Linked DNA regions of Lepisosteus oculatus. The protein of the gene in region 1 purifies or fractionates together with the protein of each later gene. This does not show direct contact. Links are inferred from orthologs where the notes say so. Each region holds a gene or a part of one and is shown on either strand. Other genes may lie near its edges.

What was found.
Region 2: the proteins of larp7 (region 1) and kpna3 purify together in Homo sapiens (affinity purification with mass spectrometry; 3 studies listed by BioGRID and IntAct, with this or other methods). This does not show direct contact. The link is inferred for Lepisosteus oculatus from reciprocal best matches to the Homo sapiens genes LARP7 and KPNA3.
Region 3: the proteins of larp7 (region 1) and hp1bp3 purify together in Homo sapiens (affinity purification with mass spectrometry; 3 studies listed by BioGRID and IntAct, with this or other methods). This does not show direct contact. The link is inferred for Lepisosteus oculatus from reciprocal best matches to the Homo sapiens genes LARP7 and HP1BP3.

Annotation. Positions count from the first base shown.
Region 1 is NC_090696.1:33,853,107-33,860,184, forward strand, and holds the start of larp7 (la-related protein 7), read left to right. Parts: upstream 1-4,062; 5' UTR 4,063-4,133; intron 4,134-4,139; exon of another isoform or gene 4,140-4,433; intron 4,434-5,147; 5' UTR 5,148-5,155; coding exon 5,156-5,363; intron 5,364-6,085; coding exon 6,086-6,186; intron 6,187-6,782; coding exon 6,783-6,866; intron 6,867-7,078. Other genes in the region: NACHT, LRR and PYD domains-containing protein 3-like, read left to right, coding at 556-883. UniProt on the Homo sapiens protein: RNA-binding protein that specifically binds distinct small nuclear RNA (snRNAs) and regulates their processing and function.
Region 2 is NC_090710.1:26,351,050-26,358,468, reverse strand, and holds the start of kpna3 (importin subunit alpha-4), read left to right. Parts: upstream 1-4,413; 5' UTR 4,414-4,502; coding exon 4,503-4,814; intron 4,815-7,419. Other genes in the region: spryd7a (SPRY domain-containing protein 7), read left to right, coding at 1,415-1,512. UniProt on the Homo sapiens protein: Functions in nuclear protein import as an adapter protein for nuclear receptor KPNB1. Binds specifically and directly to substrates containing either a simple or bipartite NLS motif.
Region 3 is NC_090720.1:7,261,689-7,269,021, forward strand, and holds the start of hp1bp3 (heterochromatin protein 1-binding protein 3), read right to left. Parts: upstream 3,007-7,333; 5' UTR 2,700-3,006; intron 2,505-2,699; exon of another isoform or gene 2,421-2,504; intron 1,732-2,420; 5' UTR 1,723-1,731; coding exon 1,656-1,722; intron 506-1,655; coding exon 328-505; intron 1-327. Other genes in the region: eif4g3b (eukaryotic translation initiation factor 4 gamma 3), read right to left, coding at 7,037-7,218. UniProt on the Homo sapiens protein: Component of heterochromatin that maintains heterochromatin integrity during G1/S progression and regulates the duration of G1 phase to critically influence cell proliferative capacity.

The sequences.
Region 1 (7,078 bases):
TCATTGTGGTCAAATCCTGAATGTTTTAGCCATTCATCCATCCATTTTCTAAACTGTTTATCCAATACAGGGTCACAGGGGAGTCAGAGCCTAGAGGTTTTAATTGAGTAATCATTCAGTGTGTTTTAATTACAATGATGAACCTAAATAGCACTTCGGCCTTGCAGTGCTGGGGTTCTGGGTTCAATTCTGAGCCTGGGGCGCCATCTGTGTGGAGTTTTTATGTGGTCTCCATGTTTGTGTGGGATTTCATACCTGGTTTTCTCCCACAGTCCAAAGACATCCTGGTAGATTAATTGCTTCTAGGATAATTGTCACTGATGAGAGTGTTTTTGTGTCTGTAATGTGACGGACTATTGTGCTGTCCAGGGTGTTCCCAGACTTTGTCCACTGTTTGCTGGGATAGGCTCCAGCTCCCCCACAACCCTAAATTGAATGAAACAGTAAGGAAATAAATGGCAGCATGGATAATAAACCTTACTAATTAACATTTTTGATCAACCTGAAAAACAACAGAAGTGAATCACTTTATCATCCAAATTGGCATTGTTTCAGCGCAGTTTGGAATGAAGTGGACAAAGAAGAAGAGGACAAACTGAGGAGCATCTCTCCTGAAAGATTCTTTGTCATCAACTTCACAGATGATGCATTTTGGCAAGAGTGGGGCAAATGGGTTCTACAGAGGTGTGAAGTGAACAGTGATGAGAAACTTGTTAACTTTCTTTGTAAAGTCTGTAATGTTTCCATTCTAAACCTGGAAATATGTTGGGTACAGCAGTGGTACACAAAGTTGAAACACCTGGTCAGATCCAGAATTGCTCAGTGCAATGATGACAGTATCCGAAAAAAACTAGAAAAGTTTGAAACAATTTTATCCTTTTGATTTACAGATCAAATATAGTAAAAAGCAAAATGATATGCAAGGCTCAGAAAGTGCACATCACATTTGAACAATTAAACAAATAAATCCCTACATACTGTATAGTACTTTGTTCCCTGTATTGTCATATTCTGGGAAAGTATTTTTTTTCTTTTTCAGTCTAGTGTGAATATATTTCTAAGATGGTATCCACCCTAACCAAACTTCATACTGTGTATGGCTTTAAATAATTGAATACCAGTCTTTGTCTGTTTAAAAGTTTAAACTAAATACTTTCAGACTCTTTATCTTCTGGTAAATAAGCAAAGAAGATCCAAGTTAATTACAGGGTTAATAATAATAATAATAATAATAATTGCTTACACTTATATAGCGCTTTTCTGGACACTCCACTCAAAGCGCTTTACAGGTAATGGGGACTCCCCTCCACCAATTTGCAGCATCCACCTGGATGCGACGGCAGCCATAGTGTGCCAGAACGCTCACCACACATCAGCTATCAGTGGGGAGGAGAGCAGAGTAATGTAGCCAATTCATAGAGGGGGATTATTAGGAGGCCATGATTGGAAGGGCCAATGGGAAATTTGGCCAGGACGCTGGGGTTACACCCCTACTCTTTTCGAGAAACACCCTGGGATTTTTAATGACCACAGAGAGTCAGGACCTCGGTTTTACATCTCATCTGAAGGACGGCGCCTGTTTACAGTATAATGTCCCCGTCACTATACTGGGGCATTAGGACCCACATGGACTGCAGGGTAAGGTCTCCCAGGTACTGACCAGGCTCACACCCGCTTAGTTTCAGTGGGCTGCCAGTTGTGAGTTGCAGGGTGATATGGCTATTGGCTAACATTGGTGACATTAGAATTTAAATCTAATTCGGTTATTACACACGTGATGTGTACATTCACAATAACAATGCTAAACAGTTTTATTTCTGTCCATCCATTGTCTAACCGCTTTCTATGTATTTATATTTATAATTTGCAATACAACTTTTTGTGTACTGTTCTGGTTTTTGTATATTCTGTACTGTGAGCAACTCTTTTTAGTGCACTTCTCACTGATTGTACTGACTGTATTGTATTGTTGTATCATTTCGTTACACTGTCCTGTGTTGACTGTGCTAAGCTGCTGTTGCACTGCAATTTCCCTCACGGGATCAATAAAGTATCTATCTTTATCCAGTGCAGAATTGTGGATAAAGTCAAAGTCCATTCTGGAAGACAACAGGCAGGAAACACCCTCGACAGGACATGTCTTCATCTCAGAGAACACACAAACATGCACGTGCACTGCAGCGAGCATGTTTGTTTTTTGGCCTTCTTTCACTAGAATAAGCTATTTCTGTTGAAGGGTCTCCAGTTGAGTAGTGTGTTCGGAGACTAAGAGAAAATATTCTTGCTAATAGGTTAGGCTGTATGGGGTAAACCTGGTTTCTGCGTTAATCTTCCAGATTATTTCATGCTCGCTTTCTGCTCTGCAAAATGATTTCTGTGTGATGTGAGTAGATTTGTCTTGCTTTTAGACTAGGTTTTTTTTTATCTGTAAATAGATGTCATTGGTGTGTGGTTAATTTGGTGCGACATGAATATAATGATTTCTTTTTTCGAAATTTAATGGTAGCACATATTTATTAAGAGAAGATGTTTTATTCATGTATCTTTCTTTTGTTAATTATCTCTTGGGTTTTTACTGTTGAAAATAAACCCCATGGTTTAGAATGCTGTGTCCCCTCTCTCTCATTAACACCACAGTTTCTTAGCCAAATTGAGAATCTAATGCTTTAGGGAACCACCAGACCTCAATAAAACAGAATTTCTAGACATCTAAGACACTAGGTGGCAGTCTAGTTAAATGTACCTTTTTATTAACAAATGTATTGCTATAATTTATCAAAATATGATAAGAGATAGGATCACTTTATCAGCCATATACAATTTCTTACATGAGGCATTTGTCTTTTTCACATACCCCAGCTTGCTTTCCATTAGACACACAGATAGGGAGAGAGAAGCTTGGGGTCAGAGTGTAGGGTCAGTCATTTATACAGCACCCCTGGAGCAGTTGGGGTTAAGAGCCTTGCTCATGTGCCCAACAGAGTAGGATTCCTCTGCCAGCTGTAGGATTTGAACAGGCAACCTTCCAGCCCCGGATACAGAGCCTTAGCAACAGTGCCACCACTCCAAGTGTTAATAATGCTAACAAATCAACCTGAAGAGAATCTTTAAAATATCACTTTTCATTGTTTCCCAGATATGTTTGATATGTTGAAATAATTGATAAGTTATTTTTTGTATCTCAAAATTATATCCCATGCATTTTAATCATAAGAGCATGAGAAATGTTCATCAATGACCTTCAGGGCATTTGGTTGTTAGTAGTTTAGTAATTCGAAGTTCTCATCCACCTGTTTCAAGAAAGAAGCCCGAGCTGTAAGTTGTAAATGCACTTTCCTGTAGATTCTGTAGTTTCCAGTTGTGTCCTCTGGCTTGTGATTCACGTTTGATTCTAACCAAGTCAAAGAGACTGTTTTTTTCAGCGTGTTTCTGCATTCAGAGGACTTGCTCCTCTAGTTGTCTTCTATGTAGATATGCAAAAGCTGTTTCAGACTTCCAGTTTATTTAAGGCATCGCTCAAAGTGTGTTCTTATCCCCATAGAACATTATTCACCCAGTAATACATATTAGTAGCAGAACCCCCACTTATCCACAAATGATATCTAAAATGTTTTACATGCAAATAAAACTTTGAATGGAGGGAGAATAACAGGTCGATACTTCAATGTCCTGTTTAAAAGTAGAACTGTCTTTGAACCTAAATACTGTATATCAATAAAGAAAACAATTTCCGTGAGTAACAACTGGAGAATATAGCATTTTTTAGTTTCGTTTAATTTGCTAAAACTGCTTTATGATAGTACTTTTAGGAGTTTGCTGTCATTTTGAAGGTCGACGTTATTTATTACAAAATATGAATAATTACATTTGTAGGAAAACATATTTTGCAAAATATGCGCTCCCGTAAGATTTTATAACGGTAAGATTTCTTGTCTACCGTTCTGTTCTCTGAGTCAATTTTGCTTGATAAGAGAGCCTGAAAACGCAAGCTGACTGTTTGAATACAGTCTTATCAAGCCTTGCTGAGTCAAGAACGATAAAAGCGGGACGAGAATTGTTCATATTACCCGCGGGTAAAACGTCATCGAGTAGCGACAGTCCACTTCCTCAGAAAGCGCCTGAATCAGTTAAAGGTAAAACATCTGATTGATGGAAACAAATACGCTTCTTTGTTAAAAGACAAATAATATACTGAAACTAAAAAGGGTCACAATTGCTTTGAAATATTTTAAGTTATTGTGTTGGCTTTTGTTAGTCAGTGAGAATTTTGGAAAAATGTGCGAAAGGTCCTTCTCCCTGGCCGCGTGAGGGGGAAATAGTCTGAGTTTCAAAGGATTTGCGGCGGACTGGTACTGTATGTGCTTGTGAGTACAAAATAAGAAGACTGTAATGTTTCGCTTGTGTTTCGTGCGATGTGGTAAAGACGATTCATGGTAATACGTCGTTTTGCAGTTTTGAATGAAAATGTTAAATCGCACGTTTGGTAAACTAGTGATTACTTTTAGAAGGGGCGTTTTCTCCGTTACTCGAGAGTGTTTGCAAACAAAATAACAGGACTCTTATGTGCAAGAATAGCACGGGTGTTGTTGGGCTGTTTGATTCATGCAACAGAAGCGTAAACAAATCGTTTTTGAAGATAATGTTTTAATTTTTTTCGCTTTAAACACATAACAATCCATACAAACTGGAAAGTTCTGTAGGTAATATTTAACCACTTTAAGAAGCCGTTTAGAAATCGGTACTTTTAGCATTATTTTATATATGTACCATTATTTATTTATTTATTTATTCTAAGATTATTATTATTTTTGCAACTGTAAAATCAGAATTATCCCTAAAAACTATAATGTGCTGTGCTTCGGGTAATGAATCGGTCATCTGGAAACGTCTTGATTTAGTTATTAGTTAATACTTACAATAAAGTTTTAATTAAAAATAACACTCAATGTACTTATCGTGAAATTGTTCATTGTAGAATGCATGAGGAAGAATTCCCACGACATGTCATCTTTAGGGGGAAAATCAGAGATTGAGTTTATGCTAACCTTTCCGTGGAAAGAACTAAAGATAACCTCAGCATACAGACACCAACTGTATAATGTAAGTACAGTACAGTAACTGAAAATAATTCTGCAATTTCTTTACAGTGGCAGAAATGATTGACACAGAGAGTAAACAAGCGGGAAGTGACAGCATCAAGGGGGACTGCAGTGAAAAAAAGAAAGAAAAAGAGAAAAAAAAGAGATCGAGAGTGAAACAGCTCCTTTCTGATGTGAAAAAGCAAGTGGAGTTTTGGTTTGGTGATGTCAATCTCTACAAAGACAAATTTTTAAGAGAACTTCTGGAGAAATCCAGGGATGGATGTGAGTGTTCTGTATTATCTTTGTCTTCCAGATTAGATTCAGCAATGTTTTAATCATTAAACCCTTCCAATGCACAAACGGCAAGTTAGAGATTTTTCTTATAATGTCTGTTTTTCTTGTATATAACACATATTCTAAGTTATAACGTAAAATGCATTTACTCATGTGTATTTGGTGTACAGTATATAGGGATATGACACAAGTGCCCATATACAGTACTTGCCTTGTTTTAAAAATATTTGTTACCGAGTTTAGAGCTTTGTGATGATTTACTTTGCCTTCCTGTAATACAAAGCACTTAAATATTATGTAAAGTAGTTAAACACTTTCCTGATGTTAAAGCATTCAGTGAATTTCTTGCACCACATCAGTATTTCCATTAACTGGTGGTCTAATGCTTGTCGGTTTAGCAGTTTCAAGGCAAATGTGTTTTAAGAGTGGTTCCGAAACTTGGGCCTAGGAGATCAGTCTATCTTCTGTTTTTTGCTCCTCCTGAGTTCTTAAATACTGATATTTGTGCAGGAGTGCTAAGACGTTTAAGGGGCCAGAATGAGGAAATGGCAATCTGCTCACTTTAATCATTCGACTATGCATTTTAATATACTTATGGAAAGACCTAAAGAGACTACATACTATAGGTGTGATTTATTTTTAAATGGAATAAACATGACTGTTTATCCTTGCAGTTCTTCTTCAATAACCTCTGTTATAATTCTTTACAGACATAGATATTTCTGTGTTAACGTCTTTCAACCGAATGAAAAAGTTGACAACTGATGTGAAATTAATTGCAAGAGCTCTGAAAAATTCGCCTGTAGTAGAGGTAAGTTGTTTTCCATTATAAACCTTTTGTAGAAGAAATAAAGAAGTATTTACAGTGATATAAATGCCATTCAAAATCATGTCAGCTCTTGAATCTATGTTACAATTTAATCACATCTTGATCCAAAAGGCTGAAAACGCCAGTCGCAAATTTTGAGTGTATGAGCTTTAATATTCTGCGGCTAAAATCTTATTTTCCCCCTAAAGATGACATGTCTTGGGTCTCACGGGAATGCATGAGGGAATTCTTCTTCATGCATTTAAGAGATTGTAAATAAAATTGGACTAACGAAGTTGGTTAAAACATTTTCGAAAACGACAAAAGTGAGCTAATATTATTTTCTGAACAATTCCTGAATTCTTGGAGTTATATTTTAATAGAAAATGTTCCTCAATGTAGTCACTTCTCATGTCTTCCCTTACAACCTTACAGATCAGCTTAGGGTGTGTCTTCAAAGCCTTTAAATAATATTGTATGTTTTATAGCCTCTGTACATATTTCCTTTAATCCTTAACCTCTTGACTGAGAGAAATAATGGTTAAATGTGAGGTGTTGTGGTGCATGTGAATAATCTATTCAATAATTAATTTCTTTAGGTGAACCTAGAAGGAACTCAAATCCGAAGACAGCACCCGCTCGGAGAGGACCCTAAAAATGTAGACCAACGTACAGTATACGTGGTTAGTTGTCTTTTTTGTGTTAAACTAAGTATGGTAAAAAGCAAACTTGTTGGACCTACTGTTATTCAGATTCCAGTGGTTCGGCTTTATGACCCTGACATAACTTAAAAGGATTCTAGTTCACAGACGGATTCTTCCTTTACAATATATTGATCAGCAAAACCAGCTAAAAGGAAGAAGCTGCTGCATAGATCAGACAGCCCCTATGGCTA
Region 2 (7,419 bases), on another chromosome or scaffold:
AGCACCAGCACGCTGACTTTAAAACTCTTCAACTCTTTGATTTTGTATCGGTTCTATCATCTGCAGAAAGCCCTTAAGAAACAGATTTGTTAAGGCAAGAATTATTTTTAAAGTATGCTACAACAGGGCCATAATTTGGATTCCTTGGACTGTTTGATGCCCTGTCCCCTTGGATTAGTGGTTAAGATTTGGTCAAACCCAAGCTTAGGCATTTCCCCTTCACGAACAAGTCCATCGGGCTCCAGGCAAATTCGTTTGTGACTTTTGTGAGTTGTGACTACCACAGAACACAAGGTAATGTTTTAAACAGTGTAAGGTATTTCTGCTTTTGGTGTGTTCTTTGTTTACCTGCATTGACTGTTGATTACACTAGAGACCTGACAGTATCAAACCCACCCTTGACAAACAGGTACTCACTCATTACATTACAGAAAGGAGCTGTGCATAATCAATTGAGCTTTGCATTAACTGGGGAGATATAGGCCAACACAAGTTGTCTGCTGAAATAATTAGCTTGGAAATAATGTGTACGCACTATAGTAAAGAAATCTTTGGCTAATGGAGAACTTCAGAACTGTAGTTTATGAACTAAGTTCATACTGCCATTTGTTATGGATTATTTTATCCTTGCTTGGCTTCTGGGAAAATTGGCCTTAGATGTGAGTGTGTCTGTCTTTGTATCTGTTTGCCCTCCTATGGCCTGGTTAACGTCCTGTCCAGGGTGGATGCCGCCTTGCTCCCTGTAACTTGCTGGAGCAGACTCCGACTCCGACCCAGAATTTTAAGAAGCAGTTAGGAAATGGAGGGATGATGGTAGGTGGGCCCAGCCAGGACACTAGGGAAACACTCCTACTCTCACACAGGAATGGCAGAGTAATCAGGACCTGAGTGTAACATCTCCTCCTAAGGCCGGCGCCTGATACACCACAGTGCCCTGGCTTCCAAGCATTGGATTCACAATGGGGAAGAGTGCCCCCTACTGGCCTGCAGCCATGCTATTTTCCTTAAAAGTCTCCCATCCCAGTACTGACTAGACTCAGCGCATTCTGAGATAATGGCTGTAGGGGGGGGAACATTGTCATTTGTAAGAGTTGTTACTTTCGGTGTTTGTTCGTCACTTCAGCATGTTTAGAACTGTAATCACAATTTAAGCTAGTATCACTGTAAGATGAAGCGTGGTCTCCAATTAACAGTGCTTCTGTAACTGTAATATTATTTCTGACAGGTCCTGGGTCTAATGGGAAGGTGCAGTTTCCTTGCCATTTGCTGCACCCAGTTCTTCTCTATGATTAAGTTTTAGCCAGTGGCTTCTGGGTGTTGTCTTTAGCGGAGCTGCTTAAGTTTCAGCCTGGATGACAGAAGAGAGTCACCTTAGTCCTCTGTCTTCATGACCTTTTCTCCTGTGTGTTTCCAGTGGATGACAGTGCCATACTGGATTGCCAGTTCAGCGACTTCTACCACACGCCACCCCAAGGGTTTGAGAAGATCCTGTTCGAGCAGCAGATCTTCTAAAAAAAAAAAAAACACTGCCTCTCGTGAACGCACCTGCACTCTTCCAAAGCTCTCTGTCTGTGTGTTTCTCTGAAGCTCTGTGACTTGTATCATTGTCCGGTTTGTATGGAGTTCTCCTGTGAAAGCTTTATGTTCCAGCCTTGTTCTTCCCAGTGCGCAGTCTGGAGATCAACTGGAAGACCCTAGGTGTTAAAGTACTCCAACGTCTCAGTGTGGACCAGGCTTTGTTGCTATATTTAAAAGAAAGAAAACTGCACTGATAGTGTCGGCCCTGCTCTTCAAGTCCCGTGTAAAAAGCAGTGCAGATTTCTAGTAGTAGCAGTGAAAAACACTAGGTTTATATTGTCAGCAGTCTTGACTGAGCCCCTTTGATGTAGGAATGAAACTTTCTCTCTTGCACCATGTTGGGAATAATTTCTGCACATTGGTTACTGAATTCAGGTGTATAAGATGGTATCGTGTCACTAGTAACTGTTGAAGCCATAGTTATGAAGCCTGTGATACAGTACTGTCTATTGGTGTTGAAATTATTTTGCTTTTTGTTGTAATCTACATTCTACATGTCCACATTGCCTCACTTCTTGAGGTGTTTAACTTGAATTTGACATCATTAATGAAACATTTCTAGTTCCACATATTGGGAGATGGTTCACAAATGCAGTATACTGATAATGAGTTGTCGTTTCACCGATTAGCTCACTGCATAAAGCCGTCTGATGAATATAAAATGTATGTTGTAAAACGCTATAGAACTTTTCACTGTTGATTTTCCTTTCACATAAACCCCCCAATATCTCTTTTTTTCTCCCCCTCTCAAACCTTGTTTTGTGACGGAAAAAATAAAATCCAAAATGAATCCTGGACGCCGACAACTTCGCTAAAATAGGTCTCATTAGTTTTGGCTGCCGAAATTCAGGGAGGTCTTTTTCAATAATGAGCACATTTTAAACCGTTCTTTTTCCCCCATTATGGAGACAATTTTTTCCTTTTTCGTTGCTGACATCCGTTTTAAATGTTTCAAAACAATGTTTTGTTTGCACTAATGAAACTTGATGTGTTGAGTATTAAAAATCCAAATGGGTTTTGTTGTAAGTCTACACTAAAATAAAAAATTTGCACCTGGACTAAGGAGTTTCTCAGTTTTGAAGATCATTGGTGTTTGGTTTTAGATCTCACTTCAGTATGCAAGTATTTCGCTGGTTGCCAATATAAATAGCAAGTTGGTTTACTGGCCTTTAAATATGAAAGCTCTCGGGTTTCTGAGCATATTTCTCAAGATCTACAGGGTTTGCTTAGGTTTTATCCTCTCTGGTATGCATGAAGATTATCACAATATTCCAGGTGGCCCTGCCCACAAGCTGCAATTAAATGAAGATTAAAGACATCTCAACTCTTGTTTTCTAATGCATTTTATATTTCCTACATTAAATATGCACAGATGACCAAGATTTTTTTTTCTTGCACTAGCTAACTGAAGTTACTTGCAGAGGGAAGGTGATGAAAGGAGCGGGAGGGGAAATAGAATCGATAGTTTTTTGCCTCCCTGTAACTCTCCATTATCTGGTAGAGTGTACATCCCAGCCTCTAGGGAGCGCACATCGCGTATCTTTTGTCACCCATCCCTCGTGAGGGAGGGGCGGGCTGGGCGCGACCTTGGGCTCCACTTCATCGGGGACGCGCCTCAGTTGCGCGTGTTCTGGGCACGTGTTGCCGTAAGAAAACATTTGCTCAAGCAATCTCTTGTATCCCGGTTTCAAATAATATAGTCAGGCCGGTTTAGGTGTGAGCAGTTATTTTTAAAAAAAAACAAGTCTCGTTTCAACATTAGCATAATGTGCACGGGAATTGTAGGCGAACAAGAAGACGCGTTTGATAGTAGGATCCGGTATCCTAGTGCAGGAATAATTTTAATACAGGCATATCCTGGAATGACAATCGCACATTTCGCTTCTTTTATACAAATCAAGAACTAGTATATACCTTTCAGTATAGTTATATAGTGTGTAGGCTGAAATGTTTACATCACACCTTTAAATTCTCCATGTGCTCAGACAGTATGAGAACCCTGAAAATCATACGTATTGTGAACCGAAAGAAGTTCGTCCGTTGCGTGTTCTAGTTGAAATTGCATTTTTAAATGATTTTAGATTGACAAAGCTATTCGTTTGATTTTTTTTTTTGGAAAATGGGTGTTGATTTGAAAACATTACATATCTTCTCCAGAAAATAATCCTTTAAGCGAATATCTCAATTTTGATAGGTACAGTATGCTCGTCCAAAATACTAGGGTGTATTTCTTGTGCTATCTTTTACTCTGCTGAAGCACATTTTCCCACCTCAAGACACTAAAAATAATCTGGGAACAGTATTTTTAGGTTTGTAACATCTGCTTTTTCTGTATGAAATGTAGGCGCATTTAAAACGTTTCCGTCTGTTGAGGAATTCTGAACTTGAATTCAGTTTAATATTTAACAAAAGACGTCCATAATTTGACATATTTGCTTAAATCTAGCTCTATAAATTGTGAAATTTAACGCCCCATGTTGTGTACTTAGTTGCTTTACTATTCCGTATTGTGCTGTCTGAATTAATATGCATGTTTCCATGGATTCAACGCACCAGATGTGATGCTTTAAAGACACAATTAATCTTTGATATATACGGTGCAATTGAACTCCGTTAAAGACGACACAGCTCGACTGTTAACTTCCTGTAGAGGGAACACCAACATGTATGTAAAGAATCTATGCACCACAACGGTATTCTTGTGTATTTATCGGAACTGTCCATGTTTCTAACTTACGTAAGGCATGCGCACTCTTTATAACGTGAAATACACTGACGCAAGTCTACAAGTAGGCTGGAATAACGACCTCAAAACCCCGTTTGCTGGGGGAGAAAACTCGGGAGCGATCTAGCCAACAGCCGATGTAATCCGCCGGCTAGAGACGCGGGCTAGCTGAAGGCCCTCGCTGTGTTTATATTTGTCGATGCGCACATCCATTGTGCAATCGCACCCCAACCAACAGCTCGCTCGCAGCGCCGGGGCCTCTCTCCGGCTTTCTCCAGCTGCCGAGCGTGGCTCCTCCTTCCCGGCCCTCCTGCCCCGCCGCCTTCCGTTACGTCTGGCCGCCCCCCTCTCCGCTGCACAGCGGACTGTCTCACCCCCTCTCTCTCTCTCTCACTGGAGCTCCGAGCGCCGGACCGCACTCGCACCGAGCACACACAGAGCCATGGCAGAAAACGCCGGCTTGGAGAACCACCGCATCAAGAGCTTTAAAAACAAGGGACGCGATGTCGAGGTAAGGGGGGAGCCCAGGGGATGGCGGCATGGTGGTGGTGGTGGCGGCGGCGCCGCGGCGGGCCCGGCCGGGCCGGTCCGGTCCGGGCTGAACCGGGGTGGGGGCGCGGGCGGTGAGCGGCTGTGCCCTCCGGGCCTTGCGACCGGCTGTGGGTTTTTTTTTTTTTGCTGGATGCTGCTGCTGCTGCTGCTGTTGCTGTTGGGGGTAAGAGGAGCGTTTATTCCGGAACAACCCCCACCGCCGCCGCCGCCACCACCACCATCATCATGCAGTGCGGGCGCGGCCTAAAGGAAAGGCCTTCTCTGTGCCATTAAACCGCGTTTTAATCGTTCCTCCACCGTCTTATGCTTTTCCCTAGTGAAAAAAATAATAATAAAGCGATTAACCTGTGCTTTTCTTCTTTTGGTTTTATTCGGGGCCTTTTTAATTGCTGTGGGGGGAAAAAAAATCTAGTTAGCATCACACTCAGTTGAGCCTCTTTTTTTTTTTCTTTTTGCTCTGCTCTTGGTAATGGTGTTCCTGACAAAACGGTCTACGAAAAATGGGGTTCTGTCCTAGCCTTTTCCCTCCCCTCTCAAATCTTCCCTGATTTGGAGAAAAAAAAAAGCAAAGAGGGGGGGAAAAACGAGACTAGAAAGGAGAGCGTAGCCAAGAGCCGGACTGGCCAAACGGCGCACTTTTCCGCATTTGAAAGGGGCGGCTGTAGCACGCCTTTCCCTGCCCAGATGTAGAAAACCGAGCAGGCCGTAAGCCCTTGACTCGGCTGCAGGGACAGAGACGGCGCCTGACCCAGCCGGCTCCTCAGGCGGCCGGTCGCCGGCGACATGCAGAGTGAATGTGATGGATTGTCATTGTTGAGATCACGATGGGCCCTGTAACATTTGAAACGCAACCTGTGTGCAGCCCGTGAGGGATTGTGCTACTGCGGTAAAAGCCGGCCCCGAAGTCATGGGGTTTTGTAGCTCTGTTGCTGTGTTGTATGCAGGATTGCTTCCGTCCGTGGTTTGATTAGGTTAGGGCACACAACTAGTTTTTAAGGGCCTGGCATGCATATGACGGTAAATGAATACATCAGTCGCTGTAACTCAGGTGCGTTTTCACTTTTTTTTTTTACCTGCGCTGTTTTGGGAGGAGATCTAAGCAATATGTGCGGCACAGTGGGAGAAGATGTAAGGACACAGTTCGTTAGAAAGAGGCATAGCGGTTGGTGCTGATAATTAAGGGACTGGGAGATATGATTGCAGACGTCTCACTGGCGTGCTGAATGAAATTTAAAATTCAAAAAATCGTCTAAGGTGCTAGTGCGGGTGCCTGTTGTTTCAAAGTGCGTTTTGCGTTTAGCTGTTCTGCCTTGAAGTTCGTACATTGAAGCTTTTGCGGTTTCGTTTTACTTTATTGGTGTTACAAATCGGCAAGCAGAGAAGGAACAAACGGGGATTATTCATTCACTGCGCTAACGATTCTTAGCCTGGTTTGATAAGTGTTGCAATACTTGGAAAATGAGGTAAATCCACTTAAGATCTCCAAGGTTTTGCTAATGCTGAGCGTTTTTCGTGGGAGACTAGCGCGATTGCTTTATAATGGCATTGTTTGCACAACTATTTCGCGTGGACACCTCTGATCTCCTGAGATATGTAGGCTCTGTGTCCTGTTCATCACAGCATACACACAAGAACAGCCCTCTTGGGAAACATACAACCTCATCTCAATTTTAGGACATGCCCCTAATTTTAGGTTGGACTGCTGTTTCTTTAGACCAAGATGATTACAGGCTGACCCACATCTGTCGTTTAAAGGGTTGTTGGATGACCATGGCACTGTGCAGTCTTTTCTGACCAGCTCTTGTTTGTCATTTGTTGCCACATCAGGCTCTGAACTTGCCTATTGTAGCAACTGTAGTTACCTGTGTAGTTGTTCAGTCTGAAGCTGTGACAGCTTGACTTTAACATGCCGTCTATGTGTATCTTTTCAATGGTTGTAGAATCTCATCTTTATTTAGAATTGTTTTTTTTGACTGAGCAGTCTTTCTCTTATGGATTTCAGGGACCACCTATGCATTCATGACTTTATGCAGCTGTTTTTTTTTTAAATTGAGCTCATTTTGCCTCATTTGAATCCTTTGGATTGTTTGCGCTCTGGCGCAGTCATGTGTTTCAGGTTAATTTAATAACGGTAGAGCTACCTGAATGCCTCATCTGATGGAAATGGAAGACCTGCTAATCGGGCAAGGTGTTTGGTCAGTTCGGGTACGAAGAAGGTGACTATGGCTGGAGCCGCAGTAGAAACGAAAAGACAAGGTGTATCTAAAACTAGGAGCTGAGAAACCAGGTCCCACAGCTCTGTTTTGCTACAGGAACACTTCCATCACATGGCCGGTGTGAATGTGCAGTTTGTGGAGATGTCATTTCTAATACACTGTACCAGTCCTGATAAAGAGTCCTAGGATTGCGTGCAGTGCATTTATTAACACTTTCTAACTGGAACGCACAGTGGGCTGTTTTTGAGTTCATGCTTTGTTTGTCTCATGATATGATATTTCATGGTATATGGAAACAATATAGCCTTTAATAATGCATTAAGTTCTTTTCAAATAACTCAAAGTGCT
Region 3 (7,333 bases), on another chromosome or scaffold:
GCACTCTGGGACAGCAATGCTAATCACTGTACTTCCATGCTACCCGTCTTAAACTCTTCCCTCCTCCTAAAACTTCTCTTCCGTCTCGAAGACACAACTACAGGACGTGCTGGACTGTGAATCCTGAATCCCAGCAGAGCAGTCCCAGAGCTTGAATTTGAATTTTAGGGAGACGTGGGAAAACGCACATCTAGGGCACAGAAGACATTCTTCCTCCAGCCCCGCGTCAGGGAGTAGAATGTCTTCTGGCGTCCTGAAACGCCACCACAGACGAGTATAAACCCCCCCCCGACACTGAAGCCCTGAGGCCGCGACGAGATGAGTTACTCTTTCTTCTGCTCCTCAGCAGGCTTCTTCTCCTCCTTCTTCTCCTCCTTGCTTTCGGGTTCCTTGCCGTCTCCCTTGGCCTGCCCGTCCTCAGCAGCAGGGGCCGGGGCCGGCGCCGGGGCCTCGCTCTCCTGCTCCTCCCCTGCGGACGCCGACTCCTCGGAGCTGGCGTCGGGCTCTGCGCAGAGACAGGGAGGAAAAAGAGCAAGTCCTGCTTACTCCACCAGTCAAGTGGCAAAAGACGGGCAGAGGAGCTCACTGCCATATGTACATACAAAGTGGAATTCTTATTCACGCTGATCTCTCAGGACATACACGGTACAGCAGACAACGCATCACACTGTAGACGGGGCATTACAAAACAGTACATAACACACAGTGACAACCAGAACAATAAAGATGCTGTAGAGAACAACAAACAACATGGTAGTCCAAGTCAAAGGTGCACAGTGGAGAGGTGCATTCGGTCCTGTGGCACTGCACAGTTAGCTGTTTATGATGCGCACTGCAGCAGGGTAGAGGATGTTCTTAAGATCAGTTTGTGGCCGTGATGACTGGGATCCCCAACGATGAATCGGGCTTTATTGTGACGGCGGATGGGGCGAATCTCATCAACTGATGGCAAATGACATCGGATAACCCTCTGTACCATTGCCACAACCCTTTGTGGAGAAGGACCTTTCCCCATTTTCAACTTATGGAAATTACGGAATGTCCTCCCATTGAGATCAGGATGGCCATGTCCCAGTCCAGTTTCGCTTTTTTATTGTCCTACATGTAAGGCACTATATAACTAAGAACAGATGCGGCCTTGTTCTATACAAGCGTCTCCAGCTGTAGTTTATACAGGGTCAGGAAAACCCCTCCATACACCATTTCCCTCTGTTATATATCCCTTTATCCCCCTCCAGTGGGGGAGATACCTTAAAACAATTCCCATAATCAGAACACAAGAAAGGTCATTGGGCCACTCAGTCTACCACATTCATCCTGGCTAGTATCCTATAGAATGGGGTGTCTAGAGAAACAGTGTCTGCAACGTGGCTTTGCAATTTGTCATGTTAAACCGTATTTTGCTCAGAGGTATACTGATGAAACGCAGTTTAGGGCCAGTGCAAAATTCCTTGCCTTTGTACTTGTCTAGAGAGCGTCTCGTGGCACTGCGACCGAACAGGAGGGCGCCGTTTCTGCCCAGAACCTGCAGAAGGAAGTCAAAGCCCTCGGAAGAAAGGACAGACCCCCTGGGTTGCAGTGGAAGGGGTGTGGGGTGCATGACGCTGGGTGCACCCCGAAGCCCCAGATCCCAGACCCAAACGAGGGCGGCTCACCTGCTGCTGTGGGGTTCTTGGGGGCTGTCTCCTGGGGTGGCGTCCCAGCAGCTCGGCGGATGGGCATGGCTGAAACCTGAAACAGGGGCACAGTGACTGGCAATGAGGAACAGCTCTGGCAACATCCCCAAATCGACACACGGGAGACTCACTGAAAGGTCCTAAACACCTGAGCTGTGCACCAGAAGGAAACTACATCTTGTGTTGCAATATCAGGGCTAATAGACCTTCAGTAAAACCGAAATGTTTAAATTACCTCTTTAAGTGACTGGAATCTAGCTCTTAAGAATCACTGAGTTTAATTACCATTTTTAACACAAACCCCAACGCGGCACAAGGTTTGCTACTGGTGTAAAAATATCTTTGTATAAGTAATAGTACTTTATGCACTTTATAGAAATGCACGTAGCTAGATCTTCTCCTTGCTCAAGGCTAAAATATCTCTCGCTCTATCGCGCTTTTAATTGGTGTGCGTGTTTTAAGAAAAAGCAACAATAAAAAAAGATTAGAATACTGTATGCTGGTGTAAGAAATATACATTTTTAAAATAAAATTACCAACCAATCATTACCGAAAACCTAAAGACCGCGCAGGCGTACTTAAAAATGTGTCTAGGGCCTATGCAAACAGAAATCCTACCGACTCATTCAAAAACAAACACCGTTAGGAAAAATTAAAAAAAAAAAACAGAAGAATGCTACGCTTATTACTGCCCGTGCACAGCGCACACCTCGGTGGGGATTTTCTTAAGGTTTGGATTCGTACCTCGGTTCTCCACCTCCATCGGGGAGGTGAAAACGGGATAACACAATAACAGAAACAAACTACACCTCCTACAATAAAAAAATGGAAAAATTGGCCATTTTGTCCATTGAACCTATACAGTAATGGCGTTGCAGTGAGCCGATGTTTTTTTTTTTTTAATGCATGAAGTTACAATGCAAAACAGCGTTTGCAAAAACAACAGATGAGAACAACTAATGCATTTCCACCCTGGTTTATTTTCCTCCGTTTCGATACACGCTGCTCCTTTTACTTTCTTACCTTTATTGTACTTGATGTATTTGTTTGTATTCAAACTGTCCTCTCCTTTTATTTAGAATTTGATCAGCACCCCGGCCCCGCCTCCCTGCGTAGGCACGTCACTACGTCGGGCGTCCAGGATCCTCTTCTTAAATTCTGTCCAATCACGGGCTCTCCTCAGTCTCCGGTTCTGCACCATTGTGTGCGATAGTGGCTGTCCGGGCACTGCCGAAGGCACGATGTCTACCACGTTTATATTTACCGAAAAATATGTATTCTGTATGTGTAGCAAATGAAGAGACCCGGCGTAACAGCTACGAGTTTTAAACCGAGTTTTAACTAACCCCTTGCCCATATATGACCGATAAAACCAGAAATTCGAATTCTGGAATGGCTTATAATAACATCTAACGTCAAACGCCTTTGTTCGGTCGCACTTGGATTCGTCTTGAGAGAACATCAAAATAGCCGACCCAATTCGACTTCAATAAAGAGGGAAGGTTGGGATTCTTGTTATAGAGAGCTAGAGTATATAAAAGTTTTGCCCCCTTCCTCCGGAAAAAAAAAGTCATTTATTTTTCTAAAATACCATTTGACCTAGGTGTGTGTACTGTATGTTACATCAAGTATTGAAATGTTTTAATTTGTCAGATCGCAATAAACTAGCAATACTACTTTCGCAAGAAAATAAATAGGGGTCAGTAGGGGTCTCCGGGCACTCGTAACTACAGATGTGCTCCTTTACAAATCCATGCCCACAATCTGCCGCATTATTTTCATCAACCTCCGCTCAAAGTCATAAGCCTGTCACATGGAACACAATGACAGCAGTCTTGCGCGACAGCTACCTCCGGATTGATGCGTGAGAATCCCCGCTGTGATTAACTCTTCACCTTAAAAACCCAAGTATCTCCGACCCTAGCAGCGATGAAGCAAGCGGTTAGCCGGCATGTCCCGGTTTGCTGAAGTTTATGGAAGCAGAAACGCGATACAAAAAAAAGGAACAATAGGTTTATTCCATGCTGAAAAAAAGAAGAAAGAGAACACAACGTTTTGGTCGTGGAGCCTTCTTCAGGTGTGCAAGAAGGCTGAAGAAGCACACCTGAAGAAGGCTCCACGACCAAAACGTTGTGTTCTCTTTCTTCTTTTTTTCAGCATGGAATAAACCTATTACTTGTTCCTTTGCAGCCTACGCATGCTGACGCAGCTACCCACCTGAACTACAAAAAAAAAAGGCACGCATACTCGTCATGCTCAAGCCACTAAGAACCTAAAATTAAGATGCAAGTCCACCGCTTCAGAGGGCATGAATTCGTTAGCAAAAAAGACACTTTACTATGGATGCATACAGGATAAAAATGAGTCCAGCTGCTGAGTCCAAGTCAGGGTCGCGGGGGAGCCGGCACATATCCCGGTAACCCAGAGGCGCAAGGCTGGATACACACTGCATGGGTCACCAGTCAACTGCAAGGCAGACAGAGACTCGCACACACTCACACCAGAGCCAGCTGTCCCCAGAACTAACCACTTAACCTACCAGTGTGTCTTGGGACTGTGGGAGGCAGCTCCCGGAGGAAACCCACACACATAAGGGGAGAGCATGCAAACTCCACACAGATTACACTCCAGGACAGGCGCAGGCAGGCAACAATGCTAACCACTGCGACCACAAAGACGCAAAAAAAAAAAAAAGGATGTTGAATGTTTAAGTACATTAAGTACTACTGAGGTGAAGTCATCAACCATTGAGTACAGACTCATCTGGTCCATTTGTGCTCTGGGGATTCATACACAGCACTTTTCAAGTGCTTCACGGAACACTTCTTATTTAACAAACATCTCAGATGCAGAACAGATGACCCTGTTTTGGTTCTGACCATAAAACCTTCCTATTCATACTTCGTCCTCATGAAAAAAAAAATATAGTAGTGTGGTTCCATTTGTTTTACATTGAATTCGATCTACTGAAAATGAAAGTGTTTTCAAATTAATGCATACAACAAATACACTTATAGCAAGTCATTTTATAAATGGAAAACGTTTCTCATGACCTTCACAGATATTTGCGAATGTAAGGACTTGATATTTTGCTGATAAAGGAAGGTTAAGGGAATTGAAAATCATATTTTACTATTGAGGACAAGTCTTTTGTAAAGTTTGTCAGGGATATACCTAGTGAAAACATTTGGGGTTCAAATCCTAGATAAGGCACTGCTGTAATCCTACCTTTAGCTTATTAGAGGAATTGTTCCAGATGTCAAGATGACAAATTTAAGCTGCTTTGGACAAAATTATCAGCCAAATCAATAACTGTTTAACCCAATACCCACAAATAGAACTGTACCATATTCAATACAAAGCAAAATATATAACTATAAAAATGTTTAACATAGCTAATCTTATGTATTGTAAAGCTAACAGTACTCACAGGCTCCTATGATGGCGACTACTTCAGTGCTGAAAGTTGTAAATGACGTTCAAGGGCTTCCTTGCTCTTCAGTCATCTTATTTTGTACTGTATATTGAGATTTGTCTTGATATTTTCCCATACTCAGGAGTAACTGTTTAAAACCCAGTTTCTAATATGTAATTGTAAACAAACTGATACAAACCTTATGAAGTCAGGTACTCCAACAGTATATGTTCAACAACATCCTGAGGAACACCACACATGAAGTGTGATCACCCATGGGACAGGATTACAAATCTGGAGGTTCTCCCAACAGCGAAAACAATCCGCACTGGGACTGTATCCAATATCAAATACAGGGTCATGGGGGGGCTGGGGCCTATCGCCAGCAAGCAACAGGCTCAAGGCAGGATACACCCTGGACAAGAGGCCAGGTCACCACACACCCACCGCCATCTTCCACGCACACATAGCTGAAATGAGAACAGTGGAAGCAAGGCCATATGAGCAAACCTTACGAAGACGGCAGGAAGAGCAGCCTGTGTTTCAGCGCAACCAAGCCCTGTGAGGGGGAGCCGGCTGTCTCAGATCCATTTGGCACTCTACAGGCCTTTCAAGGAAGACGGGGATACATGATTTATGACTGCAAGGAAAAGGCACCACTGTCCCACTGCTATTTTAACAACTAAAGACCAACAAAGACTTTGTTTTTGGTGTGTCCAAGTATGGTTAGTAATCTCATTATCCAGTGTCAAATCCAAACACTTAACAGATTTACAATCATAGTGCCGCTACAATGCAAATCCCTGCATCATATGCTTCATAATTCTGGGGGAAATCATAAGCCATTACCTCCAGTTGCTTGTACCACTGCTGTGGAAAACCCTTGAAGTGCATTTGACAATACTGAACACAGTATGTTTCCATTGTCAACTGGATTGACTGTGAAATACACCACTACTTTCCTGGAAGTCTTCAGCTGCTGTACCTGCTGTTCCTGACCGAACAATTTTGTCTCAAACAATATGGGAGACTTGTTTACCATCAAAACAATACCTAATAAGGATTGACTTACACTTCTCTTCCAGAAGTGTGCAAGAAATGGACCACACTGATGTTTCATTTAGTTTTTTTAAATATCTTTTTTCTTTAATGTATTTACAAGCTTTAAATTTGCTCTATAAGTCTGAAGTATTACAAGCACTTTATGTTCAGCAACCATACGTTATTTGATTTTTGTACAAGTTGCTGTCTGTACGTTCACTTAATTCTTAATTCTTCATTGTTGTTCATTTGAAGTTCTTGCAGACTGTATTGTCTTCTGAATGCGGATTTCTGCCCGTTTGGAGGATAATATACATATCACTTAGAGCAAGCCAAAGCAGAAGGAAGAGTTTTTGTGGTTATTTAATAATAACCTTTAATCTCTGATGTCTTTTAAACATCTGCCCTTCCTGTGTCTCCCCCCCACCACCCACTGACCCACCCACCCCCCTCCCCAAAAGAGCATTTCTTTACCCTGTTTTTCACCAAACAGTTTGGAATCCAGGGAGGCAATTATTCTTTCACGATTATTTTTTATCGTCCGCGCTCGTCTCCTTCTCGTGAGCATCTGCAAATGTTAAATAAACTTCCATATTTGCAGTCCTTAAAAAAATAATAAATTAAAGAGTTCAGAACCTATTTGTCTTTGTTGCACAGAAATTGGTTTTAAAGTCTTTCTTAAAAAGTAACAAAAGAAGGTTTTAAAATTTAAAACAAAAATATTTTCTATAAATAATACATGTTTAGTGCTCTCGCCTGTGAACTCAAACTCAAATTGCTGCAAGTCTTAGAACCGTACCATGAAGTTTTCAACCTTTTTTCATCTATCTGTGCATGTTTTTTTTCATTGTGTTCAGCAACAATTGGCCTTTCTGCACTAATTGGCGAAGATTCTCTCCTCTCGTCAATTATCTTCCGATTCCTCTTCAGCTTCCCTAAGCCATGTGAAAAAGGCTGTGACTGACTTCAGCGCTACTCCCTTGCCCAGCTGCTCAGCAGGGTCCTTGCTCGACTCCCATTTGTAGAAAGCATCTTCTGAGATCACGTCTTCATCGTACAAACAGTCAAAAAACATCCGTAGCAAATCTGAAAATGAAAAGCAAAGAAAACAGACTTTCTGAATTTCCTCATTCACACTTGAATTTTTATCAGTTGTCATTTTAGGACACTTCAGAGATGCAGCAGCTGAAAGGATTTTAGA